Linked DNA regions of Lonchura striata. The protein of the gene in region 1 interacts with the protein of each later gene in a pairwise test. Links are inferred from orthologs where the notes say so. Each region holds a gene or a part of one and is shown on either strand. Other genes may lie near its edges.

The links.
Region 2: the proteins of FHL5 (region 1) and CREM interact in a two-hybrid assay, tested with the Homo sapiens proteins (2 studies listed by BioGRID). The link is inferred for Lonchura striata from reciprocal best matches to the Homo sapiens genes FHL5 and CREM.

What each region holds. Positions count from the first base shown.
Region 1 is NC_134605.1:75,231,461-75,247,130, reverse strand, and holds the start of FHL5 (four and a half LIM domains protein 5), read left to right. Parts: upstream 1-9,338; 5' UTR 9,339-9,350; coding exon 9,351-9,509; intron 9,510-11,708; coding exon 11,709-11,883; intron 11,884-14,141; coding exon 14,142-14,311; intron 14,312-15,670. UniProt on the Homo sapiens protein: May be involved in the regulation of spermatogenesis. Stimulates CREM transcriptional activity in a phosphorylation-independent manner.
Region 2 is NC_134603.1:143,820,585-143,836,254, forward strand, and holds the start of CREM (cAMP-responsive element modulator), read left to right. Parts: upstream 1-6,491; 5' UTR 6,492-6,668; intron 6,669-12,112; 5' UTR 12,113-12,116; coding exon 12,117-12,230; intron 12,231-15,670.

The DNA.
Region 1 (15,670 bases):
CTAGAATAAGTCCACATCAATCAAACTCTACTGGTATCAGTGGGCTCACTGTTCCACAATGTCCTTGAGTTAAATTACATGTTCTTAAAATGTTCCTCGATGTTAGAAAGGAATTCCTTCATTCTTACCAAATTTCCTCCAGCATTCTAAGATAAACTTTAGCCTCAATTTTTCCTTCAATCAGATTAGGTCAATCCTACACTGGAACTGATTTTTAGATAGTGTGTATTTATAATCATAGAAAGAAATTCACTCTGAAGTCATGGTATCAAAACAACAGCAACAAACACTTTTTTCACATATCAGGACATTACAAAAATCCCAGCTGGGCAGTTACTGAAGGGTCAGTAACCTGACATCGTAATAAAGAAAGACAAAATACCATGGTCTACTAATTTTAATCATAGCCACTTCTAGACTATTTTAAGCAGGAAATGATTAAAGTGTGGTGCAGAGACTGTAAGGCTTGAGGGAAATTTTAGGATACCCAGCCACATAATTATTCTGCAGATTTTATCTTCCAAGAAGGCAGAACAGGTAATGTAAGAGTCACAAAGGCTTCACACAGGGGGCAAATGTCGCTGATGGGAACCCAGGGCTGAATGTCTGTAAGGACTGGTCATCGTTGCTGCCACAGGATGTGAAGATTCAAGTTAAAACTCAGTCAATGCCATGTTATCCCCTGCCTTGTTTGACAGCACTTTATCTACTCAACTGCTCAAGACTCCAGAGGTCTTTAAGTAACATTTTTGCCTGCTTAATGGATGATACACAAAGCCACATATTTAAAGAGCAAAAAAAGGAAAAACACCAACCTTTTTTTTTTGTATTACTTGTCCTAGTGACACTGTTATTTTTCCTCCCTGGTAGAGGACAAACAGAAAGCCAAAGATCTCTACTCCCTGCTCTTTTTTCTACCAGTCTTCTACCAGTCCCACTCCTAAAAGGGTTCTCCTAAAAATGTTCACTGTGTTCAAAATTATTTTTCTGATACCATTTCTAAAAGTGTTTTTACATTTTGAGTCCATATATCCTTTGACTGTGCTACATTGAAATGTGCTGGATAACTATCAACATTGAATATAGGACATGATGTAAAAGAATGTGTATATCTGAATAATAATCTTTTTTTTTCCCCAGCCCAAAAGCCAGCAGCCTGTCCTTGATGCATCTGTGTAGATAAGCTAATAAGGTTTTCCTGTCCACAGTGTGTTTAAAGCACACAGGGCAGAAATTAAAAACAAAAAGCCACCCTGCTATAATTCCACATCACTGGTGGTATGCACGCACAGCTGAATTGCAATATCCATGGTGCAGATGCTGAGACTTCATTACAGAATTGTGCATAGCACTGCCCAATAGATAAGAGCAAAACCACCCTAAACTGTAGAATTATACCCTAATCCAGAAAATTTTAAATCACCTAATTTGACATCCATGAATTGAGATAAATTATTCAGCTACATTAATTTACACACAGATGCCAGTGTTCTACGTGTTTTAAGAGAAGACACAGCAGGTGGTCATGTAACACTTAGAGGGAAGCAGGAGGATGGTAAATAAGTCTACTGAAGAGTACCCACAGCATATTTTCATGTTGGTTGTTTGTTGTGAGCTCTCCTAGAAACCTTTCTCGCCATCTGTCTCAGTTATATCATTTAACCAGTTTGCTGCTTGGTAGAATACAAAGAGTGACATTTCTTTCAGATTTTCTTTACCAGCTTCATGGTCTGTCTACTAGAAGATACAATATATGCATATGTATTTTAATATGCTTCTGCTGTTATTGTTATATCTCTGTATTCCCAAAACAGTGCAACTGCAGAGATGATTAATGCTAAATGTCATAAATATACCTAATGTGGTAATTGTCATTAAAAATCCAGAGTCCATAGGTAGACATCAGGCTGTTTCTAGCTCTCTTCAATGTTTCTGCTTACCCCTCCTCTTGTTGTTGCTTAGAGAAGCTGTGGGTGTTCCATCCCTGACAGATTTAAGGCCAGGTTGGATAGAGCTTTGAGCAAGAGCTGGTCTACTGGGAAGAGTCCCTATCCGTGGCAGGGGGGTTGGGAATAGGTGATCTTTATGGTCCCTTAAATGGTTTTGTGTCCAACCCGAACCATTCCATTATTACTTGATCCTGCCTCTTGGAATTGCCCATCTTGAAGTCTGTTTTCTCTTGGGAAGCATTGGAGAGTGAGTGGCACAGCAGTGGTCACCCCAAACACCTCACATATAACGGGAAGATATCTGCAGTGGCCAGCACTTCTTAAACTGTACAGCAGTGGTTTTACAAACAGTGATTTCTTTTGGTGTAATAGCACCTTAGGGCTTGTCTGCAGAGCCATATCATCCCTATTTTCAGAGATGAGTTTGATAAGAAGGTGGCAGCCTTCTTATCAAGTCTGAGGAAGCTCTGCAAGCAGCAAAACTGGCCTATGGAATATTTGGCCTACAAATCAAAATACATGGGAAAAAATGACAATTGAAGTAGGGATGTTACATACCAGTACTACTGACAGTAGCATTTGCTTTTCCTAAGCTGTAATGCCATCTAACTCATCACAATCTCTTAACAAGGCTGAGATTAGAAAGTTTTAGATTTGTTTCATTTTGATAAGGTGTCATCCTTTTATTAAAAGAGTGCTGTTTCTCGGTTTATATTTTTCCTCAGGAAATTAGGTCAGGTTGGCATAGCACAGCTGAAGGTAAGAGTAAAAGCCACTGCAGCAGATGTTTCATTATCATTTGGGGGATTTGTGTTTGGGTTTGGGGGAAGCAAGTCTTTCTTTTTTTAAATAGGGTAAAAATAGGGTAATGAAAATCCTTTCCAATTTTGGCTTGTTGCTAACAATGCTGCTGCTGATGATGATCTTTATATTTTTGCTTATTTTATTTCTTAAAGGAGTTCTAAGTAGGTCACAGGCTTTTAAACAACCCTTCTAGAAAAAGTTGTGCTGTGTAGTCATTTGTAGTTTTGGTTTTTTTTTAATGATTGTAATTCATGTGATGCACCCCTTCTCATACAATAGAGTAATATTCATCCACCTTGCTATTCATGAAATAAAATGTAAGGGTAGGGAAATCTGGTCTCTACAACTAGGAGATCTGCAAAGATGAGAAATTACATATTTTTTCATTAAGATCTTAAAGATTACTGTCAGAATCAGCATTCCCTATTGAAGTTCTGTTACTTCTTGTTAGTGGCAAGACTGTTTTGATTGGTGACCTCCAGGCACTTCACTCACCCTTGTATAACGCAGGTATCATTTCTTATAACAACTGTTTTCCCTGGGAAAGATTTCAGTCCCAAAGGCAGGCTTGTGTCACTTCCAGGCAGGTGTGTCCCTGCCAGGTAGTGTCAGTGTATGGCTGAGATGCTGCTTTCCTTGGGGCACTTCTGCCCAGCTGTGCAGATGCTGTTCTAGCAGAGATGGTTCCAAAGTGCTTCTCTGATGCTGCTCCCTACTGGTATCCAAAGGGGGCCTGGTGGGAAGCTGGAGAGGGACTCTTCATCAGGAACTGTAGTGATAGGACAAGGAGTAATGTGTACAAACTGAAAGATGGGAAACTTATTATAGACATTAGGAAGAAATTCTTCACTGTGTGGGTGGTGAGGCACTGGAGCAGGCTGCTCAGAGAAATTATTCATGCCTCAGCCCTGGAAGTTTTCACAGCCAGATTGGATGGGGCATTGAGCAAGCCGGTCTAGTGAGAGGTGCCCCTGACCATGGCATTTGAGTTGGAACCAGATGATCCTTAAGGTTCCTTCCAACCCTTAAAATTCTATGACTCTATGATTTGCACAACAGGGATGAACTCACTAGTGGAAGTCTCAGATCAGGACGTCAGTGCATGTCTTAATTTTTAACTTCCACTTTCTCTTTATTTAAACACTTTTTGAAGTATCATTCATGATTCCCTAATCCTGGATTGCAGGTGAGTGTAAAGGCATGAAAGGGTACTTGTCAAAAACAGGCATCTACAAGAGAACTGTTTTGTTGTGATGAGAATGTCCCCATTCCTATTCTAATGCCCATAAAAGAATATTGAGGGTTTGTGGAGAATTTTACCCTCCCTGTTTTGTCATTCAACAGTCATATATTTTCTGTATCACAGAATCACCTTGCAACTGCCCCTGCTGAACCTCACGAGCCTCCTGTCACCCCGCTTCTCCAGTTATGGGGAGGGCTCCCTAGATAACAGCACATCCATGTGGTGTGTCAGCCTCTCCTCCCACTGTGGTGTCACCTGCCAGTTTGCTGTGGGTGCCAGTCTGTCCCATCTAACTCACCAGTCAATTTGAGTAGTCTTTCTCAGATGACCCTTTGTAACAGATGCAATCCTCAAACCTGTTTTCTGGTTCAATAAGGAAAGTACAGCTAAGAATACTGACAGGATTTTACATTGAAAGTTACAACAGTGCACAGCCAAATTATTTCATCACTTCATTTTATTCCATACATTTGACAGGAGTCAGAAAGGAATGAGCTCCGTAATGACACAGGAGAAAACTCTGGCTCTACCAGACTATGTGAAAACCTGTAAAAAATGTGGGTAAGAATTATTTCAGAAAAAAAAAAAAAGGAAGAATTTAGATGACTACACCATTTGAGCTTGTATGGTGTAAACAAAGCACACAGCAATACCAATTAAGGAAAAAATTACAAAATTCCTGAGATACTTGTTCCCCTAGTTAAGCCATAGCTCTTGCCCTTTTTGCTTGTGGTCATGGGGTGTGTAAACACAGTACAATTCAGTACCAGACCAACCTCTAAAATATTTGCTTTGCCTTGACATCCCACCAAAACAGTGTCACTTGTGGACCATGAAGCAGAATATTTGGATTCTTACAGCTGTGTCCTGTTTGGCATATGTCCTGGCTGCTTAAAGGAGGATTTCAACAGTGAGAACTCTGCACTCACTCAGATGCTTCCAGGACCTGACGCTGTATTACTGTCCTGTGCCACAGAGATAAGATAGCTCAGAGTTAATATCTGTGTCTTCTTTCCAGTAGGTTCTTGGTTTGCCTTGATCTGTAATATATGCCCCTAGTTTCTATTGCTTCTGTAGCCATTTTTAGAAAAGCAAATATTACAGAACTCTTAATGTATGTAAATGCATGAGACAAAAATAGAAATAGAGAAAATTGTCAGCAAATTCATGTAAATAAGGCAAATAGCATTAGAAGATAAAAGAATGCACTTACATGAAAATGAACAAGTGCCTAGGGCAACTTGCAAGGGTGTCCTCATCATAAGATATCAAATTGTTTTTCTTATCCTTCAGTGCTGTTCAAAGGATTTTTTCCCATCTTTTTTTTTTTTTCTTTCTGCCTCTCTAAGAAATAGTTTGTTGTTAAAGAAAAAGATCATGGAGTTCAGTGGTAGATATATTTAGATTAAGAAATATTCCATTAGAATTTCCACAAAGTGAAAGATAGAACACTTTTACCTGTATGTACATATCTACATCCATATGTATATACTAATTCTTTTCTCAGTAGTATGAATGTTTTTGGGCTTTTTATTTTTTTATGATGTCAGGAAGATTAACATATATTTATAGAAAACATCAAGATTAATTATTGAAATGTATATTAACCTTCTGGCTCTGCTTTTTAGCTCCAATGGGAAAAAAACCAAAACATTCTTTTCCTGATGGTTCCATATTTATCAGGACTCAACTTCACAACCATGTTCTTACAGCTGTCTTCACTGGAAGTCTTCTAGTGCATTTTATGTGAAATAATTTGACTCTCCAGAAAGTCCCTGTCTGAATTTGTTGTAGCTAAATTCTATCTTAATCTGCTTTAACAGCAGGCTGACTGACTTTTTTGTATTATCATCTCTTTTATCATTCAGTCCATGAGACTGCTGCATCCTCAAATCTGACCCCAGGGACTCCAGTTACAATGTCCTCATGTCCTTGGCAACATCTCTCTGCACCTTCTTGGAATATTCTTAACCTTTAAAATGATAGCTCGTATCCCTGCTAACCAGGTACATAAAAATCAACAGTATTTAGCTTCCAATTGAAAATGTTCCAATTTAAATAATAAAATCATCTTTTCCCAAGGAAGGGCAACATGGCAGTCTTTCCCTGTGCCTAGGACTGGAGTTAGCAGCTGGAATGCTGGAGTCAGCATTTCATTCCACGAGAGTGAATAACATCAGATCTCCAGAGATTTCTTAGCTGACCTTCAAAACACAAAGTCTAGCTTCCAGCAAACTTAAAGTAAACATATTTCTCTAGAGATTAGGATCAAAGCACAAGAAAAACATTCTACTTCACTGTGTGGCGCTCGTACCATTACTTATTTATTGGAGCATGGATAAGTGGTGCTGGGAGTGATGAGATTTACCTTTTTTGTTGCATTTTCTAATGGTAAAAGTAGTTCTCAAAGGTTACCCATATTTTTGCCAAAAGGTTTTCAAAAAAATCTTCATTCTTTTGCATACCATTGCTGCTTCATTCCCAAACATGGTCTTTTATGATGATTCATGGTCAAACTGAAGATTTTCTGAAGAAAAGTCTTGGGCACCTTGAGCATTTTACTAGAGAAGCAGCCCAAGGACACCCTCAGGCTTTGACTCTGTTCTTGGGGTATTTTATTAAAGTTCTCAAGCAACAGCTCTCATCTGTACAACAGGATTAATAATACTTTGTTCTTATATCCATATAGGGGTTTAAGAGAATAATCACGTTGCAAATTCAGTAGTTCTGGAGTATTACAGTAGTGGGTCTTGTTTGTGCACACAGCCTGTGCTTCCTGGAACAGACTGACTTTCTGGGGGAGAAAAAGCATTAATCAAGATAGCCACGTTTTAAAGAAAATTATTTGGAATGCAGAGGTTTTGATAACTTAGAAAACCTGATTGACATTTATTAGGATAAAAAAACAGAGATGTTTCTACAGACATGGGAAGCTATTTGTTGGTGAGCTTTGTGTAACAAAAATGTGCTATAAGTAACAAAACTTTTATGAATGCCCTGTTTGGATTTTGCTGTTGCCACTTTTAGACTGAGATGAAACTCTGTCAGGAAGCAGGAGTACTGATCCAGCACGGAGGGGATCAGAAAGGTGGTTCACTTGGGGTTATCCTCCAAGGCAGTTCATAACTTTAATTCCCACTAAAAAAAATGAAAATCCTCTGAAACCCAGTTTTCAAGCCTTTTCTGTGACCTTAACTATGGAGTTAACCATAAACACTCCTTGATTGTGTCCTTAGACACCAATTCATACTTCTTCCCCAATAAAGAGCAAAATGGGCAAAACTTAACCTTGACTTTGGTCATGACTGTGATTGTGTATTAAATGAACTGAGCTCTGCCTGGTTTTATATGTCATGTTCTGTAAATGTACAAGCTGATGGATGTAATTTTCTTATATAAATGGGTTTATTTGTTACACATTCAAATCTGTTTGATCTTAAGGAAATGGAAGTCCTGATTCAAGCCCTGTTATATTATTTTTCCAAGGATATCACATAAAACACATCAGAAATATTTTTAAGAAAGCATGTTTCCCACTGATCTGGGTTCCAGATTATTTCCTTACTACACACTGTCTTGGCTGACACAAATATTAAGGGCAGTAAGAAATACCATATATCAATTCAACCCCAAAGATTTTCAATTTATAGGAACAACAAGCTTTCTAGCCAAGTCATTACTTTTGGTCTGAAATTAGTATGACAGCCGCTCTCCCTGCCCCCTTTTCACTTTTTTACTACTACATCTCCCAGAACAGATTCATAAATGCCTGGCCTTATGCGTTGGTGCTAGGGGAAACCTGCAGTAATTGCTTTTTTCTCACAGCTCAAACAACCATTTTGGTTTAGAGCTTACCAAAGCAGAAACCCAGGAAAATATTTTATGCCTTTTTAAAGCTCAACTGTAGGTATGGTTCAGGCCATCAGTGAGTGCATAAAAACAAAGTGTGAGGTTGCAACTCTAAGTGGGCTAGATGTAGGCTTTGTCATGGATAAGAACTCCCTCAAATTTTCTCTATGTTCTTATATTGTCTTCTGCATGTTCTACTTTATTCTCAGGCTCTGCATCTGGTTAAGAGAAACTAATTTGCCCTGTTATTCAAAGTGCAAAAATTTCAGCTGCCCAAAGTCACTGACACATAAATATTTTAGACCTTCTCCAGTTGTTTTCAACTCCTCTAAAATTAATGATTGCTGGTGCTGGCTGCAGATACACTCATTGAGTTTAATGAAGAGTGCAACCCAATGAGCCCAGCAGATGTTTTCGGTGTTGCTTCACTATGAACTTTCTGGTTTCTTCTTCCTTCATTTCCAAGAATCAAGACCCAATTTTAGCAAAGAGATGATGATCCAACCAGCAATAAGAAGACTGAAATAGGGCTTAAAATCCACAATTCTTAAAACATCTATTATTGCAGATCTATAAGCAGCTGAGGTTTGGATGTTTGTCCAAGCCTCTTAAGCCTGAAAAACTGAAGGATGGGAAATTCATACAACTGATTCTCAATAGATTTGTGGTATTTCCTGCACTTGTCTGGCACAGAAATATAAACTATTTCACATTATTTTGGTACTGCCAATGTGGAATCCAATATAGAAATAAAGAAAAATGTAAGAAAAACAATCTTTTCCAATAACAACAAGGAAAACTTTCTTTGAGTTCTGATTTTGTTTGACTTGCTATTTAGTTTATTTTTCTTTATATTTTACTCTTTTACTCTCCGGGAATATTTGTGTGACTTTAAAATGTCGCCAAATATTAGCAGCACAGTTGGAATAATGCAAAAAACAGTCATATATCCTGGAGCCCCTTGTCTTCCTTCCATTGGGTCAGGTAGATGTGGGGGTATTTTGAAAAGAAAGGAACGAGTAGAAGGACACGAGTATCAAGAGCAAGTCAGGAACACACTACAAAGTGCCTGCCTCTTCTCTTTGGCCTTTTAACTCTGCAGTTGGTTTCATTTCTGAATTATTGCTTCTATCTCCATTACCCAATTTCTGGATGAAGTATATCTCAGGATCCAGTACATAATGCTCATAATGCCAGTAGTTTTATGTAGGGAATGTGAAGTTGGCTTCATTTTCAGGTGTCTGGCCTGAAACAGCGTTAGAATAAGCTGAAGCAGCCCTCTTGCTCCTCATCATGTAAGTGATACAATTCACAGTATATGTTGTTAAAGGCTACCATTTTGTTGTTGAACAAGCCAGCATTAAGAAATCCAGGGCACTGCAAATGACCAGGAAATGCCTGTCTTTCACAGGTAATGCAGCATTACTTAGTATTTGAGCAAGCATTATGCACTGAATTACACGACTTTTCCATCTTTTGCAGATCACGTGGAGGGTCCCAGCAGGATGACCAGCAGCCACACAGATTGTCATTTCTGCCTGCAGTCCCTCCGTGGCAGGAAATATGCACTAAGAGAAGAAAATGCTTACTGTGTTCCGTGCTATGACAGCCTGTATGCCAACCCCTGCCAGGAGTGCAAGCAGCTCATTGAGTGCAACTCCAAGGTAAAGATTTGGCTTGAACTTTTTGTTCCTTGTTAAATTATACACAAATCAAATTTCTTTAATGGTAGATTTGATATCCACCCCTTTTCATATCCCTGTATTGCTGAAGAGACCTAGCCATAGCTGTTGTACATCCACACACAGCAGTGAAACAGTGCTATTTTCCATGAAAAAGGAAAGCTCTGGGATCAAAGATGAGGAAATCTGCACATGCATATGCCCCAGGTTTACAGCAAGGCTGTGGTGGGTGTGTGGACCTCAGCTAAGCTCCATCCTTCACCTCCAGTCACTCATTGGCTGCAGGGGCTGCACAGTGCTGGAGGGGTGATAGGGTGGATGGTGCAATTCAGTGTATCAGGTTGATTGACACCTCAGAATTTCTGAGACATGTTCATTGAATAAATGTTTTGAGCATTGAATAAATTACTTTTACTGTAGGTGTTGACAAGCAGATGCCAAGCTTAGAAGACAACGTTTATAATTTGCATATTCTCTCTCTCTCTTTTGGAAATAAAGTATTTTTTAATTTCTGCTAAATTCCATGCTTACCTTGCTCATCTCACAGATGGTATATTAGTGGCAGTGTTTCTGCTGCCTGTCTTTCACCTCTCAGTTTTTTACAATATTAATTAATAATTCAAGCTCTTCTGTGGTTTTTGACAGGGTTTCTAGTACCCCATACTTCAATATAGAGGACATACACTTGACATTGAATTTTAAGGTCAAATGAAACCTATCAAAAATCATTTATTTTGCCAAGTTCAGTGTGTACTGGTCACCTTCTCCCCATGCTTTCTTTGCCTATGTTCCTTAGAAATAAAAGGACAGAAATATATTAAAATAAACATATTGGAAGGCTTTCCCAGCCCAAGCACTTCAAAGCACATAGTCTACATCCAGGAATCATCTAAGGAAAATGCTGATTTGGTTGAAGACACTCCTCAAACTCTCATCAGCATTTCACCCACAGCAACACTGTACACGTAGCAGCAGTCAGATTCACCAGGAGAACACATGCTTTGAGTTCACTTAATTTCATCTTTAAAATTAAAAATTAAATAAGTGACAGGATTACTCTTGTTGAGGATCATAAACAAAAAGCCATGTCTTTGGACTGAATGGAAGGGAAAAATGAGAGGAAAAAGCAGACGTGTAAGAAAGGAGTGCACCTGGCTAGAGACATCTAGAAAAGTGGCACACAGAGATCTACAGCTGATTGTCTCACCTCTGCCAAGGGGTTAGAGCTTGGTTTTCTTCCTCTCCTCCTCACTCAGTCTTTGCCTCAGGCTGCTCTGGGCTGACAGCCGAGTTCCTGCAAGGTTCAGAGTGCTAACGAAAGCAAATGCAACTGGTAAATGCTCAGCACCTCCTGAAGTGAAGCATGGTATTTCTTTTATTTTTAGCTCTTTAAAAGGCAGGGACATGATCAAGGAGAACAATGAGATTGGATTTGTGCCCTTTCATGTTTCTTACTTATAAAAGAGTCCTGGAAGGGTTTGTTTTTTAAGCTGGGAGGGTTTTTTGGAGGTGCATTTTTCCCTGTCTTTTCTAACGGTGGGGAAATTAAATCTGCTGTTTGGTCTTTTTTTTTTTTTTTTTGAGTTCTTAGTCAGGATCTCATATATATACTGTTAGCTCTTTCATCCCTTAAGCCCACTGACTCTTAAACAAACATTTTTCTGCCAAGTTTTCAGGGGGATTTATATCAGATGTATCAGATATATCAAAAGGAATTTTTTTTAATCTTGCTAATAATTATTTTGTTCTCAATAAGATTTTAATTGCTTGATTTCTGACATAACAGCATTCTGTCATGTCAGCTGGAAGTAGTAACACTGAAAATATTAATTTCAAATTCTATAGAATATGGACTTCCTCTCCAGTGGTCTGTGCACATTAAAAATGTTGATCACTCGTTTCCCCTTAAAAGACAACTGTAATATATAATGTTGTTTTTCCAATACAAACATACCTCTGTGTTACATAAGGAAGGACATTCTGTCAAAGAAGCTCCTAATGGCATCTGCAAGAGATCCACACAACAATGTGACACTGAGTACCTGCCTCTTCCCTGAGCACACTTCTGGCTGGGTCCGCCCCTGCGATGCTCTTCCTTTCTTGTTTTAGTTCTGGAAGGAATTGAAGGATAAAACCACTGTAAATAAATATTCTCACTAACATGGACTTACTTTCTCCAAGGATCTGGCCTACAAAGGCCGCCACTGGCATGAGGGGTGCTTCAGGTGTGCCAAGTGCAGTCGCTCACTCGTGGAGAAACCCTTTGCTGCCAAGGACGAGGTCTTGCTGTGCACCGAGTGCTACTCTGATGAGTACTCATCCAAGTGTTTTCACTGCCAGAAGACCATTATGCCTGGTAAGACAACAGGGGCCCTTTGCTGAGAAATGGAACCACATTTTTAATGATAACCACCTCCTGGAATAACCAAGTTACAAGACCCTTGACTTTCAGAACAGCTTGGAGGAGACTACTCTTCCTTTGTGTGGAATTCTCCCAGCAGTGGGGAGAAGGCAGGCAGACACTTCTGATCACTAACAGGTCTTATGAATCCTTTTAAAAATATTAAGAGTTCAATGCAGGGTAAAATGTGTCCATGTGATGTCCTTGATTCTGTTGCAGTTCTTAGGAAGCATATCCCACTGTGAGCATAAGCAGACAAACAGAGCTATTGTGAGCAGAAGTGCCAGATTAGATAAATCATCTGCATGTTTCCCACATTGACCAGACCCTGTGTTTGTGTTCTTTATCCTAGTGCTTTCACTCAGAAATATTTTTTTGTTTAAATTGTCAAAACATGACAATTTGCTTTCAGATCATTAGCAGCATTTTTACTAAAATGAATACAAGTCCATTTTACAATATTGTCCATGTTTGCAATAGGCTTACTTCCTGTCATTAGCAATCTTGAAAATTCTGCACATTCCACTAAACTGCTTCTCAGCTTCTGATTGTGTCTGTTCAGGACATGCTCTAGACTTTTCATTGTTACCACATCAGTAAAGCTCATGAAGCAGAGTGACTACACAAAAGCTGCCTCTTCACAGGCACCTGAGAGAAGCCACAGCACCATTTGTTGCAAAAAGAAGCTGATTGCTTAGGAAAGTGTGTCCATAACGTTTGAAACAGAGAACATTGGTAAATTTTGCAGTTAGAATTTTATTTTTCAGTATTTCTTAATGCTGAACAGTAAGATTCAGGCTGTGCAAAATTATAGTTTTACTACTGGTACTAGATTACTCAGGTTGTATACAATCTGTAACACTAGTTTGTATTTTTACAGTTTGTTTCTTTTTCATTACAAGTAAAACCTGCATTAGTGGAAACAAATATTTTAACAATATAATTGTGTTCATTTTAAGCATTATAAACTACTTGAATAGTATATGGTTTACAAAAATGTTGTCAAATAGGCATACCCCACTAGATGTGGTCAAAAAGGTGCCAGAATACACTCAGGTTTGTATTATTATCTTCTGGTGTATATCCATGCTTCTTGTTTTGTCACAGAGTCTAAATCCTTGCAGCAAGTGCCTGAAGGTGTGAGAAACAGTGCAACAGTGGCATGGGAATGCCAGCCTGTCTCAGTATCATTAACTTCCTTCTCATCAGTTTGCTAGCTCTGAGTTGTGAAGGACAGTGAAATTGTCCTTCTGATCACTGGGATGAAAGTGTAAACCTTTTGTATCTAAATACAGCCAGTAGTTTCTCCACTGGCCCCACTTTTCAGGAAACAGGTACAGTGGAACTCATCAGTTATAGCAGCAGTCTTCTTCATGTGGAAAGGATGGTAAAGCACCTTGCACCTCTAAGTTCAGTCTGATGCTACTCACAGATAAGAAATTAAGGATGGAGATCCACTGGAAATATTTCTCCCAGATATATGTGCGTAACAGACTTGTGTTTCTATATGAAGATAGGACACCTACATACAGTGATAAAAGCTCTAAAACTCCTCTGACAAACATTTAACTGAGCAACTTTCTGTTCTTGTGCTGTATCAAAAGCATCTAGTTAAATATTATAAAAAGAATTGTTGGTCTAGGACAGAAATGGTGAGCTATAGGAGAAGGCAGTAATGTGCAATAATGTGCAGTAATGTGCAGTAATGTGCAGTATCACAGAAAAAAATATTTCTTTTTAGAAAGTTGCCAATTTAAGCTGATTAAGATAAATAATGCATTTATAAGTAAAGGAGCCTTAATTTAAGAAAGAGAGAAGATAGGACAATAATAAATATACTAAACATCCAACAAGTTAATCTCTAATTTATAAAAGTGCTGTGTACTGAACATTATCACTGAGTTGGCTGCTTTAAGAGAAACTGAGTAATTCAAGCATATCACAAAGAAACCCCAAAAGATTCTTATAATAACAGACTCTAAAAATCACAGCTTAGGCAATTCAGCCTATCTTTTGCCAGATGAATATATGGCACTGGATGTGTTCTTGAAATTTCAAGTGCATTCTTCAAAGCACTATTACATTGAAATTTACTGTTTTCTTGGGTAATCCAATGCTGAGGTAGAAGGTTCAAAACCAAGAGCATTCCCAACATTTAAAACTTATATTACAAGGCTATATCTGAGAGGATTGTTCACTGTGGTTTTTTTCAGGTTCACGTAAAATGGAATTTAAGGGAAGTTCCTGGCATGAATCCTGTTTTGTTTGCCAGTATTGTCAGCAACCATTGGGAACAAAACCATTAATCACCAAAGACAATGAGAATTACTGTGTGCCCTGTTTTGAGAAGCAATTTGCTCACCATTGCTATGCTTGCAAAAAGGTAATTAAACACGCAATACAAAAAATGCCCTAATGAGGCAATATTGCTCATGGGAGAAAGGGCCGGATTATGTGAAATATGTGGTGAACTAAGAGTAATATCGGAATCTTCCCATTGACACTGGACACTGAAAGGCAACTGTGACAGTGTCTGCTGTTCACTCTTGTTAATCTAAGATCGATTATATCTGCCAAAACAAATGCTTTGGGCTATTGATTATTAGTTATTGATTGTGACTTTTAGAAAAGATTAAATGGAAAGTTATACATAACCCTTCTTTCTTGAAAATACCTGATTTTGCCTTTGTAAACATGCCTCTCTTTCCATAATTTTTCAGATTTATTCATATGCATAATTAGCCACCTCAAATGAGCAAATCATCCACAATCTTGACTATTTTTTCTTGAAATATATCAGGCAATTAGCAGATCAAGTAACATTCAATTGTGATAACACTAATCAGGAGTTCCACTGATGCAATATGTGATGATACCTTTATGGGCACCAGAAAACTTGATTTGATTTCTTTATTCTCCCAAGTACAGATAAATCAGTTCTTCCCTCCCTTGACTTCTCATGTTTTAAGATTGCCTGTTGTTGATGAAAAGCATCATACTATTCAAGTGTGATACTTTTCTCTAGAGAAATGTTTTAAGCTGTTTTTAGGGCAGAATTTTATTTATTCTTTAGTACCTGCATTACTCTGGAAGTTATTTTTTTTTCTGCTTCATCAAATTTCCTATAGTTATGTAATTACCTGCAAACCTTTACCTCTAACAAAATCTTTTAATTTCAGGAAAATATTCTGCCTACTTTTTCTTTCAGTAGTTAAACTTTAGAAAGTACTTTTATATATTCCCATGTATAATTCCTATAATTATAGGAATTATATTCCTATAATTTCCTATAGTTATGTCATGATTACCTGCAAACCTTTACCTCTAACAAAAGCTTTTAATTTCAGGAAAATATCCTGCCTACTTTTTCCTTCAGTAGTTAAACTTTAGAAAGTACTTTTATATATTCCCATGTCTCTACATCCAGGCTTTAACTTGCATTAAATGAACACATGGCAATTATAGTAATTATGCTTGATGTTTATTACAGGCATTGATGTTAGCACTTCCTACATGAAATAATCAGGATTTGCTTCTTATAATTTCTAGGAATACAAATAGTCCCTCTACATAACAGCTAAAACCATTTTTTTTCTGAAACTTGCATCTATTCCCATACATGAGAATTGAGCCCAAATAGATTAAATTGCCAAAATGAATCTTGAATTTTTGTCAGTGATTTTTAGATTTTAATGGAAAAGTAAAGGTAACCACAAAATAGCCCAAAACTGGAACGTTAAAG
Region 2 (15,670 bases), on another chromosome or scaffold:
GCATGTCTGGAGAAGGGGAATGAAGCTGGTGACGTGTATAGAAAATAAGTCATATGAGAATGCAGCTGGGGCAGCTGGGGTGTTTAGCCTTGAGGAGTCTCAGAGGAGACCTTATTTCTCTCTAAAACTCCTTGAAAGGAAGTGTAGCCAGGTGGGGGTCAACCTCTGCTCCCAGGCAACCAGACAGGATGAAAGGAAGAGGCCTCAAGCTGAGATGTTCAGGTTGGAAGAATCTCTTCACTCAAAGGTTGTCAACCATTGGAATGGGCTGCCCAGGGAGGAGATGCAGTCACCATCCTGGAAGATGTTCAATAAACAACTGGATGTGGCATTTAGTGCTGTGGTTTATTTGACAAGGTAAGGTGGTGTTCAGCCACAGGTTGGACTCCATGATCTTTTCCAACCTCCTATAATCCTATGATTTTCTAATCCTATGATTTTATGAACATATATTGTGAGAGGAAGGCAGCTGCTGCTTTTTGTTTGCTAGGCACAATGTTTTGGAGAAAATAGTAATGTAAATCTTGAGTGGTTCTACCACTATACTAAAAATGGTAGCATACAGCTCTATGGCATCTATGTGTACAGTACATATAAATATACACACAGATGGAAGAAAAACACCTGAACTTGGTGACTTTAGAACCCCTAGTGAAGACTCTTAGGCAACATAACCTAATGTTGAGACAAAGCTGAATTTGCAGAGCTGTGGTTTCCAGGAAAAAAAAAAACAAAACAACCCAAAAGACAAGGGAAAAAGAGCAAATAGTATCTGTCTCTTCTAAAATATGATAAATGGGACATGTCTAGTGTCCATTTCTAACATGTCATTTTGCAAATTAAACTAGGCATCATTCAATTTCCTTGGGTTTTCTTGAGAAATTATTTTATAAAAGGATATATATGTCTCTCAAATGATCCAGTAAAATGCTTATTTCATACTTAATGGAGATGGAAACCTCCTGTAAGGTGCAAAAGTACTAGACAAATAGAATGACAAAAAACAGCTCATAACTTAGCCAGCTGGCAAAATACCATCATCAAAGAAATAAATTAGTTGAGCTAGCATTTGATGAAAGATATATCCTTTTCAGAGAAATATGTTCTTTAGGCATTTATCTGTATCACTGGTAGATTAAGAACTAGCAATTCTTGACATGAAAGAAATACAGAAATTCTCTCATATAAATACATTCCAAATAGCCTGACAATCTTCTGTTATACTCTTCCATTTAGTTATTTTTCACTTGTACTTCTTCCTTCCCTTTATAGCTCCCAGACACCTTTATGTCCATTTATTCAGCAGCTTTTGCTTTTCATTTTATATTCTGCATTCTTGCTCTTCACTGTCATTTACAACCATTTACCACCAACAAAACAACCTGCTCCCCCATCAAAAACAACCTACAGTTGCTAGAAAATCTAGTCTACAGCCATTGTGTTAACCAAATTAAAATTATTTTTTAATATATATTTTTTCACTTAATATTTTGAATAAATATGAACCCTTTGTATATGTTTGCCTTTTACTGCATAATCTGAATGTTTGATGTCACTCACATTTGTGTGAGGTAGTTCCTCAATGTCCTATTAGTGTTGGCCACATTCCTGCACTGGCTTACTCTGCCTTACAGGGTACATCTTTTTCAAGGCACAAGTGTATGTCAACTGTTTGGGATATCCATATTCCTGTGGCACAGTGTACTCACAGTCAACAACAAACTCTTCTTTGTGTGCTTTTTTTAACACAGCCTATTCACAAAACTTTTAACAGTAAAGTTTTATGTATTTAAATTTTAAATACAACTCAAACAGTTATTGGGAAATTTAATATTCATGCTATAAATACAAAATAGTGCTTTATACAAATCTGGTACTTTTCACCTGAAATGTTCAAAGATCTCTACAAAGGACAATAAATTGTAAATGGTTATGAATACTGTGAAGTACTTGTTATATACATGTTATGAGGAAGGTGTTATATAAGTAAAATTTATTGTTCAGCACAGGAAACAAAATTTTCATGTAGTAGATCTAAGTTAGCATTATTTTTTTCTGCTGCAACAAAAATATCATTATGCATATATCTTGAAGTCACCAGTCAATCCTTTAAATATTTCAGATACTTTACATTGTTCCCTAGTAAGAATATTATTTTCCCATTATAATGATTTCTCTCATGAAATGAATATGCAACAAATGAATATGTAGCAATTTATACAATGTCAAGTTATTTGCCAAACGATAAGTTTCTCCCTTGTTTTGTTTGTTCTGGCTCTAGCATGTGGGGGGACCTGACCTAGGACTGGTAGATTAGGAAACAGTCTGAATCCTGTCAGTTCTCCTCATGACTTACAAACACCATACCAGGTATCTAAGTACACATTCACAAATCTTTTTAGCCATTTGTGTTGTTGTTCAAGCAGTGATTAATGAAGTGATCGCAGTTTAGCTGCTAGTGTACTCCGATTTGCTTTGCTAAGTTTTAATGCATCAATAAGCACCTCCTTTCAAACTGCAGAACATACCAGACAGTAGTATATGACTTGGGAAACCTGTTCTGTATTTATAAGTTTCATATTACAAATCCTAAAAAAGTAAAAAAAAAAAAAAAACCAAACAAACAAAACAAACACAAACAAACCATGTTAAAATGGTTAAAATGTTGTATTTCATTTTTGGAGTGTAAAATATTATCACATTACTGCAACTTATTATCCAAAATTAAATCATTACAAACCCAAGAAAATCAAAGTAACAATAATTTAAAAAATGGACCTGGAATACTATTTGATATCCCCTTCACCAATAATAATGTCCAACCCTTCCAAATAAAGAAAGCCTAGTGTTTACATGGCATAAGGCAAACTAGATCTAGCTGAGGTACTGCAAAGCCTCACAGCTGTTAGGCCAGGCTTCTCACTAAGCCAGACCTAGGACTCCTCAAGGCTATTCCTTCCTGTGCTTCTGGCTTATGCAACCCACAAAAGTCAAGGCAGTGCCTTAGCACAGCACTAATTTAGGCAGTATTGATTTTCAGAGGTTCCAGTGATGGCAGTAGCAAATAATAACAATAAAAGGATCATCAATTTGCTCTTGTACTACACGTACTAGTCAGTTTTATTTCCAACTTGACAGTTTAGGAAAGGAGGCATTACAAAATACTTATAATTCTACAGATGTGTAATTAAAAAAAAAAAACTATATACATTCAAAAAAATACTTACAAACCTTTTACCTTTTACAATATTGTTCAATGTTTGCCTTTGGAAGGGTGTGCCATTTCTGTTCCTATTTGTTACCTAATGGAAGTCCATATTTTTCTTGCATTGCTAGGAGTTTAGAAGAGAAAAGAATAGGTAAAATAAATTATTAGTCTTGTATTTTATACTCATTAAAATGTACTTCTTGCCAGATCTGTTCTCTTTCAGACTGATCAGAATTCTGTTGCAGCATGCAGGTATTGTCTACTTCTGACTTTCATCACATTCACAAAATAAATTGTGAAAACAGTGTCTATGTGTTTACTGCACTTTCCTGTGACTACTCTGCAAGTTCTGCACTTGTCCCTCTATTTCCTTGCAGGCAATGAAAGAGTAGAGGTAGGGTTATTCAACGATCAGCTGAAATTGGAGTGGTCCATGAGGAGACTTGTGGTGAAATTATTCATCAGTAAGTATCAGTATTATTTCAAATAGGATACCAGTCTATTTTTTCTGTCAGTTTTACCTCTATTATCTTCAGATGTCTGGATTCTAATTAAAGAGAAATTGACAACTAAGCTAGGTAGCATATCCATTTTGCTGTAGTTGTTTATGCCAAGACAATCCATGAACTTTTTAACAAACTAAATAGGCATTTCATAAGATTAGAGCTGAAATGTACAAAATTCTTTCAATCCCCTTAAAAAATCTATTTAAAAGGTAACTGTGAGATTCATATGTAGAATCAGCTGTCTGAAAATTACAGAGATAGCACTCCTACTGATGTAATGTGCATTGGTGAAATATATATGTTCTCTGCAAAGAGCACCATGTTTCTTTTTGGTTCCAAAAGAAGTTGCTACAACTCCCTGTTCATCTATAACCCTCCCTGGTTAGGGTAGTACTTCTCTCTGTGTGATGGTGCAGTGGGGATCAGACTTAAGAATTGTTCCAGGTTGAAAGAAACTTAATGGCTCTGCCCACTGAAGTTTTAAAAAAAATTAAAAAAAGCAATGGACATTTCGAGATAGAGAGAAAAGATTATTCAGGTGGTCATTCTGACAGCAGCAAAGAGCCTGGATTTCAAGTTTATGTTCTTACATAAACGACGAAAATCACAACAAATCCTGACTTGTTTGGCCTTCTAATGGATTGCTTTTGGTCTCAGCACTTGAAATTAAAAGGGTTCACATCAGGCATTGATCCCAATTTAAAGAGAACTGGTTTTAGTAGAAGTGAGCACTTTCGTGGCACAGGTGGGTCTGGCCTCAGGTAACAAACATGGTACCCCAGCCCTGCTGTGGTAGGAACACAAGTCCCTTTTCATTCTCTTCCTCTTCCAGCCTGACAACTTCGGCGAGCTGCATCAAGAGCCAAATCTGGTTAGTCATCCTTGTATCACCAAGGTCTAAGGCCCTCTGGCAGTTCACTTATGCTTCTGACACACTTAATTACGAGAGAAGTGGTATAAATAGTAATAAATTCTTAGTTAAACATTTCAAAGTGTTTATGGCTTACTTGAAAACTAATAAAAAATAACTGCTCGTCCAAATCCAGGCCCTAAGAGTTCATGGAAATTCTCATTTTGTTTACAGGTAACTCACTCCAGTGGTTTCCATTATTTAACACTTCATTTGAAATTTCTTCCTGTTTGTCTTAAGACTTCTACCTTCAAAAATATTTGCTTCTAATATCATAAGAGCCATTTTTGGCTTTTTGAATACACAAGGCAAAACTGGAATTTCTTCCAAAGGTTTCAGCAGAGTAATTCTCAGTAGTTTAACACTTGTCTGTTCATTTGATTATCTTGCTATTCTAACAAATATTATTAATTGACAAGAGAAAACATATATTTTAATGAATGAGCATAACAATAGTGTACGTAATGGATTAGATCTTAAAGCAGAATTACGGGAAGAGAAACTCCTATTTAAAAACCCAGAACAGACACATAACATATAAACAAAAAACAAGGGAGGGAAACAGAATTCAAAACAGGAAGGGGGTGTTCAATATTTCAACAAAGGAAATGTAGGATAAAAACTGAAAACTTGTACAAGCAATAGTGGTGATTGAAGATTCTGTATTTTTTCCACTAGATTGTGATTTTGATAGCTGTGTTAACTCCTGTGAAGGAAATTAAAGAACTAAATGCTTAAAGGTAAGACCTTTGCAAATAAGTATGAGTCATCTCTTACGAAGTCAGAGATAAGAATTATTTGGTTTTTTTAAAAACACAGGAAACCAATACGCAGGTTCTCTCCGTGCCATGAATAAGACTGAGTGTTTGACCTGCATGGACCTATCACCAATCCTGACACACACATCCTCCAATTCTTTAATCATGAGTTATGTGAAATTAACTTAGGTTTTTCATGTTTATTTAGCACACTGAGTATATTCCTACAGTAAAAAAAAAAATAACCTAAACCATAAAAATAGGTAAATGCATTACATAACTTCAGAATATATGTGCAGTGATGTGTGCAATTTAAAATTAATTGCAGTATAATCCCTTGTAACACTACTTTGTAAAATACTGATCAGCAATAAACATGCGATGTTCAATCACCCATAGTAACAAAGTTTATGGCTTACGCATTTATTGCATTTGAACATTATTAGCCCTGAGCCGACGGGCCCTGCGCTTCCGGCAAAGGACGTGCTCACACCTTCAGCACAAACCCAGCATGACTCAGGGTATTTGGGCGTAATCCCGCGGCAGCGAGCGGGGAAACACGCACGTCGCTCCCGCTTGTTGCCTCTTGGCAACTTCTGATTTACTTAGCCAAATAAATGTAAAAGAACTATGTCATACTATGAATGACTGATGTAAGGACCGTGCTTTTACTAATTACAAAACAACCTGCGGGGAGCATCTCGGCGGGGCGGCCTCTGGGCAGGTTTCCGTGTCCGTCAGGGCTCCGGCACCGCCCAGGGAACAACCGGGGGTTGTGCCTCCTCCCCTCCCTAGGCCAGCGCGGGGACGGCCGGGGCTGGACCCTGCGATGGAGCCCAGCCAACCGCCCTTATCGGCGGGCCCGGCCGGCGCGGGGAGCAGCGGGCACCGCCCCGCTATCGCACGCCCGGAGCGCGGCGCGGGGAGCCGGCGGGCCCGCGGCCGCCGCGGCTGTTACCGGCCGCCCCCGCCCCCGGCGGCGCGGGGCCGCCCCGCCCGCACCGCGGCCCGCCCCGGCCAATGGGCGGCGCCGGCGGGGCCCCGCGGCGGCGGTTGGTCAGCGCCGCGGCCGTTGCGCCCCGCGGCCGCCCGGCACCGCCGCCCGCCCGCGCGCGGCTCCGCCTCCCGCCGTGGCCGCTGGCGCTGGGAGGCCCCGCAGACGCCATTTCCTCGGCGCCCCCGCGGCGGCGCGGCTGCATCAGCGCTGACGTGAGGCCGACGTGCGGCTCCGCCCGGCCCGATCCCCCCCACCCCCTGTGACGGGGGCAGCACGTACAGGGCGGCGGGTGAGTGCGGGAGGGGGCGGGGACACGTGTGCGCGCAGCCCGACCCCCTGCGGGCCGGGAGCGGGGCAGCGCGGAGGGCAGCGGGCGGCGCGGCGGGCAGGGACGGGACGGGACGGGCAGGCGGGGGGCGCTGTGCCGCGCTTGGCGCAGCCCCGCCGCGGGAGCGCGCGGGAGGCGGCGGGGGCGCGTCCCCGCCGGCAGCCGGGGGCGCGCTGCGCTCAGGGACGGCGGCGCAGAGCCCGCACGGCGCTGTGGGGCTGCCCCGGGGCGGCTGCGCGGAGCGCCGGCTCCGGTACCGCCCGGCAGCCGCGGCGCTCGCCGGGCTCCGGCAGGCGGTGGCTCCAGAGCTTGCTCGGGACGCCGGCTCGGCTCGCCCGGCGTTGCGGCTCGGAGCGGGGTCAGCGCCTGCCCGCGGCGGGCAGAGCGCCCCGACCGGCCCGTCCTGGGGTCTGCGCGGGGCTGCCCCGGCCGAGGGCAGCGGCGGTGCCCGGTGGCTTTTGTGCCTTAGTCCGTTACTCGCGGTTATCGCCTTGCCCGTAGAGCGTTCGGAGCTGGGTCAGAACAAGTGGGGAGGGATCACAGTGGGCTTCGTGAGTTCGAAGTCTTGCTTGAAGCTTTTATCTGCATCCCCCACTGCTGTGACAGCATCATTTTTGGTGCTGAGTGCAGCCGCTGTTAAGTGGTTCCAGGGACTGATGCTTGACGGATGCTCTGGCTTACCCCGGCTGGGCCCCTCTGAAGGGGCCGCGTGTCCGCTCGCAGCCGGCTCTGCGCTGCATTGGCAGCGTGGTTGAGGCGGCAGGCGCCGAGTGGCCGAGTAGCATTGCCTGTGCTCAGAGTAATGTTGGGGTTTTAAGATTTTTGGGGAAGAAAATAGGGAAATAAGACTGTAGGAGACACAAGAACCTTAGTGATGAAGCTTCTGTTGATACTGAAAACTTTCAGACCCAGCAGTTTGCAGACAGTGCACTGTGGTGCTGCTGCACATTTTACTTGACTGAATTCTGTGATCACCTTATCAGCTGGTGTTCTTCATGCTACCAGCATGGTAAAACTGTTATTACAGAGTTGATAGAAAACACAGTGCTCTTCTGAAACCAGTGTATTCTGAGAGTTTCCATACTAACTGTGGGGTCAGCAATAAATGCAAAACAGGTGTTTGTACATTCGCATTCTTGATTTCTAGTAACTCCCCTGTGAATAAAGGCCTTCAAAGAGATTTGGAGCAAGGCTGAAACATATTTTTTTAGCCCCTTACGATTGATTTCCTATGTATCAAACCACATTTGTAAATGTAAACAGTCCCTGATGTATAAAGGATGATTGAAATAAAAAAGTTGTTTTTAAAAATGTCTGTGGGTATTTATTCAGACAGTCACACACTTCCAGTTATGCAAAATACTGTAGCAATGTGCTTTTGCAGTATAATTTCACCAATAGACCTTAAATATTATGTTGATATGCAGTGATGTAAAACAAACAGCAGTACAGGGAGGCGTGAAAGGATTTCTTGTGCTCTTTATTGCAAAAGAACATAGCTTGCTAGGGATGCTAGCCTTCATCTCTTACCTATGGGCAAAAATACAAAGAATTCACACCTTTAGCTGTAAATTACTCAAAATTTTCTAGGAAAAATTTTCTCTTTTCCTGTAGCTGATTCCATCTGTCAGATTTCTCCTGTCAGGGGTGGTTCATCTCGCAGTTGAATAAGCTTTTGATGTGTACTGTATGCATCATCTTAATCAGTGTTTATCTGCTACTGATCACTGCCCTGCTGTCCATTAGTCTCAGTGACTACAGTAAAGATGTGCTTAGGTATATTGAAATGTTGCTGGTTTGGTAACAGTTAAACCTCCTGCCAGATCCTGAAGATCTTTTTGCAATGTTGTAGGAAGAAGCAAAGATCTTTGCTTCATTATGGAAAACCATTTTTTCCCCCTTTTTATGTGTGTGCAGAGGTATAACTTATTTATTAATTTAAAAATCTAGACTAGTATTTTAAATTATTGTTCAGTCTTTGTAAGTAACTAAGATTGAAAATGTAAGAAAAAGATGTATTAATAATGAGTATAAGACTAAAACTTGTATATAATTAGTCATACAATGAAGAAAAACATTATAATGTTAAACAGGACCCAAGACCACTTACTTTGAACTATTTGCTTAGTTTTCCTTTAAAAATAGAAGGAAGGTTATGTCAACTTTTAAGTGTGATGTGTACTGCTACTGATAGACTTTTATAAAGGATTTTAGAGGCTTTGCGGAAAATTTGGTTTTTCTTTCTTGGAAACTTAATAGCAATGAATGTGTTAATATCTGCTTACAATGAAGACTGATTGAGTGTGGTATGTGTGGAAACTGTTTTCTGAATTGGATTAGTAACAGTTTCATGCCACAGTCTGTATTACTGACATTTTAGAAACAGCATAATTATAGTATTGCTCGGTATTTTTTCTGTGTATATATTAAAAAGTTTGATGTATTCATGTTGACATGATACATAGTACAGGAAATAAAAACCCTGTACAGTTCAGGTTATCTCTGAAGACAATGACAAGCTCATCTGAAATGCAGGAGTTCCTTGGCTTGGTCTTAAGCTGTGTACAAGCCCATATAAACTGCACAGCTGAGTGTGACTGTGCCACCACTGACCCTGTGGGCTCAAATGACTGCAGCTGACCAGCTCCTGCCAGGCCAGCGATCCCATGGCTGTGTCTGTCAAAGATTCCTGTCTTGTATCATGTCTGAATTGTGACACTAATGTGCTAGTTTGTCTTAAATCATCATTCTCACTGAAGTTTTATGCCAAGATAGCTCATGTATCTTTTAGAATTACTCATATACTTTTTTTTTTTATTTTGTTTTGTTTTTTTTTTTTTTTTTTGTTTTTATTTTAAGGCTGTGATTGGATCTTTATATTTGGATGTTGTTTCAAGTCAAGTCTCTGTTTGGTCACAGAGGTTGTCAAAAAGAAAAGTATTTTGCTATGTTTCACAGTAGTGATTGCATTTTTATGGCAGTCACATTTTCAGACTTTACTCCACCCTGCTAAAGTTCTCAATTAAGCAATCATTTGTATTAGGAGTCAGAATATACACAATTATAGATGGAAAATCTATATAAATTCTGGAGTTTTCCGTGTATATCAAAAATCTTAATTATGTTTTTCACTCCACTGACATGTACAGTTCTTGCTGTTGTTTTTCTAATTAAAGATAAATAATAAAAAAATACCCCTTTCTCTGTACTGCATTCCCCAAAGTACGAGGAATAACTTTGTTAGATTTTCTGCTGCACTGATGTTGTTTTTGTAGCTTTTTGCTAACTTAGTTAATGCAGCACTGCAGATGAAAAGTCTCGGGGAGAAAAATCCTGATAAAGTAGTAGAAATAGATACATTTTTATACTGTTCTGTAATCAGTGAGAAATTAAGCTAAAAATCAGGAACTAAATTTTTTCCAAGATGAAAAATATCACTTTCAGGGTAAAAATTCTATGAAATGCATTCAGTGGGAATAAAAGTACTTGTTTTTTTGTTCTTATTTGGTTTTGGGTGGATTTTTTGTTTTGGTTTTTTTTTTTTTTGTTTTTGGTTTTTTTTTCTGTTTTCTGTGACAGATGGCTCTGGATACAAAAAATAGTTCAGGGCCTTCATAAAGTGAATTAATTCTGGCTATATTCCCATCTTTAGGAAGAGATTACAATGAATATGTTGCCGGTACATAGGCATTATTTATTCTTGGTGTGTGAGCTGTTCTGAAGCGTATTCTTACTAGAACCCCATGGACCTTTCATATTTGAGACTTTTTTTCCCTACTTTATTATTGTTATTATATTGCACATATATAAAACCAGCATAGTTTTATTAGGTAATATCTTATAGAAAATTATGATTAAAAGCTTGGTGAAAAGCTTGGTAAAAACATTTTCCTCAGAGCTGTTAGACTTTGGTGAATTTCAGTAGACATTTCATTAGATTGTATCTAAACAAAAAGGTAATTAGTGGCAACTTGCAAGAGAAAATGTAGAAAGATTTTAGGTGTAAAATAGCTCCATATAATTCTAATCTGAATTGATACTGGCATAGGGTATGTAACTTCTCTGAGCAGAAATACTCACGTTAACCCATAAAATGGTGAATTGTTTTGCAGCTTTGTTACTAATAGCTATAGTACTGTTAAGTCTGGTCAGTAGAGTACCATTTGAGGCATATGAGCTACAAATATGCTTCTTTGCATCATTTTACTGGGTATGTTTTCATATTTTCATGCCTTTATTTTGGGCACAAATTTGATTTCTAAAAAAGTAATAAAAAGTGTTCTCTTCAAAGATTGTGGAATGTTCTGTAAAATAGTGCCACAAAAGGAGTTTGGTTACATTTAATTTCTTTAATGTAGTTAACTTATAACAGGCACTAAATTCCAGAGCCCTCAGAGTGAGGTGGGCAGCAGTGCCTGCCTGCCTCTTGCATCTCTCAGTGCAAGTCCTGAGAAGAAACCAAAGTAATTATCAGCCAGCTGAAATTATTGAACTTTGACCTCAGGCTTGTCATCCCCTAGTTGCAGAACCTGAACCTGGGGAACTGAGATTTGCTGCCTGTTAAATCTCACAACTAATATCATGTCTCCCTTTTGAGGCTGTCAATTGGTTGTGTAAGTAGGGTGTAGGTGGGAGCGTGCCTGCAGGGCATCCTGCCTGCCTCTGCCTGACCCTATCCTGTCTCTCCTCTGTTTGTAAACTGACCTGTTGCCATGGCAATGTTTGACATCACCTGTTCAATGTTGCACCTTCAGTGCAGGGTTTGGTAGGAGAGAAAGGGAGCCGAAGAGATCCAAGCTCTTGTTTTAAATCTCACACCTTCCGTTATGACTAAGTGTGCCAAGAAATATCGAAAAGGAACTGTCAGGTAATTGCATTTTTATATAGCAGATATGTAGCAAATTTGGAAGTTCTTGCTATGAAGTTTAAACTCTTAGTTTACATTGAGGATCAGCAAGTTCTTAGTTTTCAATGCAATCTATCCTACTTTAAACCTGTAAAGTGAGAAGAATTGTTGTGGCTCTTGAGCCATGAGTAGTTTACAGACAATTCAAGTGTAGATGACAACAGGGAGTAGGCATCTTGGAAGTGTAAGAGGGCTGTAGCAGCCCATGAGGCTGAAGGGACCTTCTGTGGGCAGCACTGCATGGGACCCTGGCACTCTGCTTGTCCCTCCCCTGAGAACCATCTCCAGAGCTGCCTCTCCCTACAGCTTTCCAAAATACTTGTTTGAGAGCTCCTGGATATATTTTAGTACAGAGGAATGAAGAAAAGACTTCGTTTTGACAGATACATATTTATTTTCTGTCTGCATTAAATATAAAATAGTTTGGAGTTACTCTCCCTAGCTGCCTGATATACCTCCCTGTACTGAGTTATTTAAATGTGTATGTACTTGCTTTTAGACTGATGACCATGGAAATGGTTGAACAGGATGACAGTGCAGCGGATTCTCTGACAGAGAGACGTGCTGGTCCCCTTCAGAATCAGCCAGGCCAGAATCAGATTTCCTCAGGATCTGAGGTAAGTTGAAATGTGGAAAGATGAGAAGAATCAATGAAGTGATATTCAGAACTGCTATGATTTTTAAACTATAAATCTTTGTGGTATTCTCATGTTTTATCTTGATATTAAATAGGAAAAATAAAGCAAAGATTTACCGGAAACTATGCCTTCAGTAGTTAACAAAGGACTAATATGACATCAGGTCTGTTGAAAGGTAACATTTTTAGGAGCCCTTTCAGACAAGAGTGGTCAGTAAACAAACGGGTTTTTTCATTTTACTTCCACAAGGTGATTTTTAAAAGATGAGCTACAGTCTTTAAGAATTGAGGTGGCTACAAGATCAAACTTCATTCACACAAGACTAAACTTCATTTGTGTATCTAGAAGATGTGTTCTATAACAAAAATGAAAACATGAATAAAAATATCTGTAGTTCTCTTCCTAGTTCCAGTTTTTGTACAGAATGTATTTCATCTAGTTGCAGTTACTCTTTTAATGTGTCCTTGTTTTGTTTCATTCCTGTGTATCCAATGAGAGTGTCTGGACTTCTAAAAGCATACTTTACATGTTTTCTATAGTTGCTCTACCTGGATTATTGTTTGGTAGTGAATGGATAAAAGATTATGTAGTAACAATTCTCAAGCATTAAAAATATGTATTGTAATAGTCAGCACTTGAGAGAAATAGTGTTCCTGACAGTACTAAGATTTATAGCTTCAGAAAAGTGTATGGACCACTTAAAAGGATTTTCAAAAGCCCTTTTTTAAATAAAATAACTGATTTTCAAAAATGTCTTACAGACTTTTTTCATCATTGTAAGTTTGAAGTTACTTGTTAAGACTTGATGCCACATATTTATGTTAGATACTTGATTTACATTATAGATACATTTTTAAAACTGAAGACAGCTGCTCTTTTGTCAGATCTTCAGACAAAAAGTAGACCACAAAATATTTATCAACCTTTTTTTGTTGGTTTTGATGCATGCAGCATTGGGAATATTGTTTGTTTTTTTTTCTTTAAGGAATTTATTTGGTTTGCTCTGTTGGTGTCATCCCCTCATTTCTTCTTTAGTGGTTCTGTTCAAATTTTCATATGATGAATGATGTGTAAAATCTATTGGCTTGTGCAATAGCCTCTGCAGGAGACATCTGTGAATTCTGTCACTTGGGTTTTTTAGAGTTGATCCAGGGACAAAGGTGTCACTAATGCTGTAGGAGAGTTTTTGCACTCCTATATTGTGCAATGTATAACACTTTCTATGTTTGTCTGCATTTAACACTTGAATTCTGTGTGTGAAGGTTCAGCTGTACAGGGAATGGGCCTCACGCCTTCCAGTTAAAATGAGTAACTCTGAAGTATTGATGACTCTCCTTCAATTAACACTGAACCAAGAGGTGTAGCTCAGTTTGAAGGCTGAGTGTTACAGCCTGGAGTGGAGTAGTGGAGTCCCTGTTTGTGTCTGGATGGCTCAGAGAGGCGTCCTGGAGGCGTCCTGGAGCCGTCCTGGAGCCGTCCTGTCCCGCTGCTTGGCGCAGGAGCTGCCGTCCCCTCCCGGGCACGCGGCGCAGCGCTCCGGGCCTGTGCCCATGGCCTCGGCCGCTGGCTCCCAGCCCTGCAGCCCTCATATGCCCTCAGTGCCTTCAGGCTGCTCTGCCACAGCACTTGCTGGGTGGAACTGCCAGACAGAGCACTTACTGCTGACAGGCCTTTTGAGACGCTCCTGTGGCTTACGATGAGTAGGATTTTCTTAGCCTGTGTTCCTGCCTGGCTGGCTTGGAAGGTGAGGCGCTTTGTCATGGAGAGTTGGGCCTGGGTGTTGAGGAGTTAAAGCCCGCTGGAGGCCCTCTAGGAGACATCTGACTGATTTTGTGGTGGTCCAGATGGGAAATTTGTGTGTTTCTGAGGATTTCATGGCTGTGCCTGTGTATTTTGACTGTAACATAGGAGCGCAGATCCCATCTCCCTCTTTGGCCTGTTGAGGAGTGCACAAGAGAAGACAACCACTATAACTGACTGAAACATCTTATGTTAGCTTCCAGTCATCCCTCTTACTATTTCTGTTGCAAATATGCAGAAATAGTAGAAAAGAATGACTTGATTCTTACTGAGAGCAAAAATGCCTGATCACTGAAACTGAGAGCTCCTTTTCAAGTATATCCAAGGGAGTGGGGAGATGGCAGCTTTATTTGTGGTTTTTTTTTTAGCAAAATATTTGTTCAGCCTTGGCTTTGGTCAGTCAGAAGTAAAACGTTTTGATACACTGTGTTTTAATTTGTGGTTTTCTGTGCATTATCAAAGAATGAATTGTAGAAGCATCAAGCTTGGGAGGAACTTTTTAAGATTATCTAGTCTGACCTGCCTGTGCAAGCAGTGTCAGCCAGAAGTCTCTCTGCCTGGAATGTAAATATCCCCAAGGATGGAGTCTCTAGAGCCTCCCTGGCCATCTGTACCAGCAGGTGACTGCCCTTCCAGTAAACATGTGGAGTTTTAATGTCCAGATAGAATGTAATGGTTTTTAATGTGCTTGATATTTAATTGAATTATGACTTTGGCCAGGGACTGACTAGCAAAATGCTGAGAGATACTACACAGGAGATGGGCACTTTTTTCTTCTTCCTGGGGGGTAGCTGACTTATTTTCCCCTCCTCTGTAGGCTTTTTAAAGAAATACCTGCCATTTAGTTTTAAAAGGCTGGACCAGGTACTTCATAAGATGATAATCTTTAGAGAGCAGAGATTGTTTTGTGCTGAAGCATTTTTAATGTATCCCCTACTGGGAGAGAGAGGAGACATTAAGAACGTGTGGGCTGGAGACTATGGTGTGATGGGATGACCTCCAATGCTAAGAAGGATGTATTATACATTATTTGTAGAGGAAAAAATAGCGTTTGCATTTTTTTCTTAGTTTGGGTCATAGATATTGCTGTATTCTCCTGCATTTTTTTTTGCTGCTGAAAGTAAAATTACTTGTTCTACTAAAGCAAAAATGAGTAAGTTTGAAACTAGTGAAGATGAGATGCACTTTTTGTCCATTAAATGCTTATTTTTTAAGTAAAATGTCCTACTATAGAATCAGTTTATAGTTGCATTTCTTGCATCTGTCGCTGTTAGCCAGTTGATTAATTGACATGGTAATATTGTTGTGATCCAGCTACCAGAATAAATAGGTAAGAAAGTAAAATCATTTGTGGCTGTCTTTAGAAGCTGTTGAAAATGTGCTGAACACCTGTACAAAAGCTTGATGCCTTTGAGGGAAGAGCAGAGGTGTGAGATGGAAAATTTCTTAACCAGTTTTGAGATGAGCTCCATGAGTTGTCTCAATTGCACAGATCATTTGTTCCTACATATAGAGCTGTACTTACGAAGAAGTTAACTTGTATTGGAATATTTTGATAGTGTTGATGATAGTCAAACTTACGTCTCCGAAGACTTAAATCTGCAATTGTATTCAAAGAG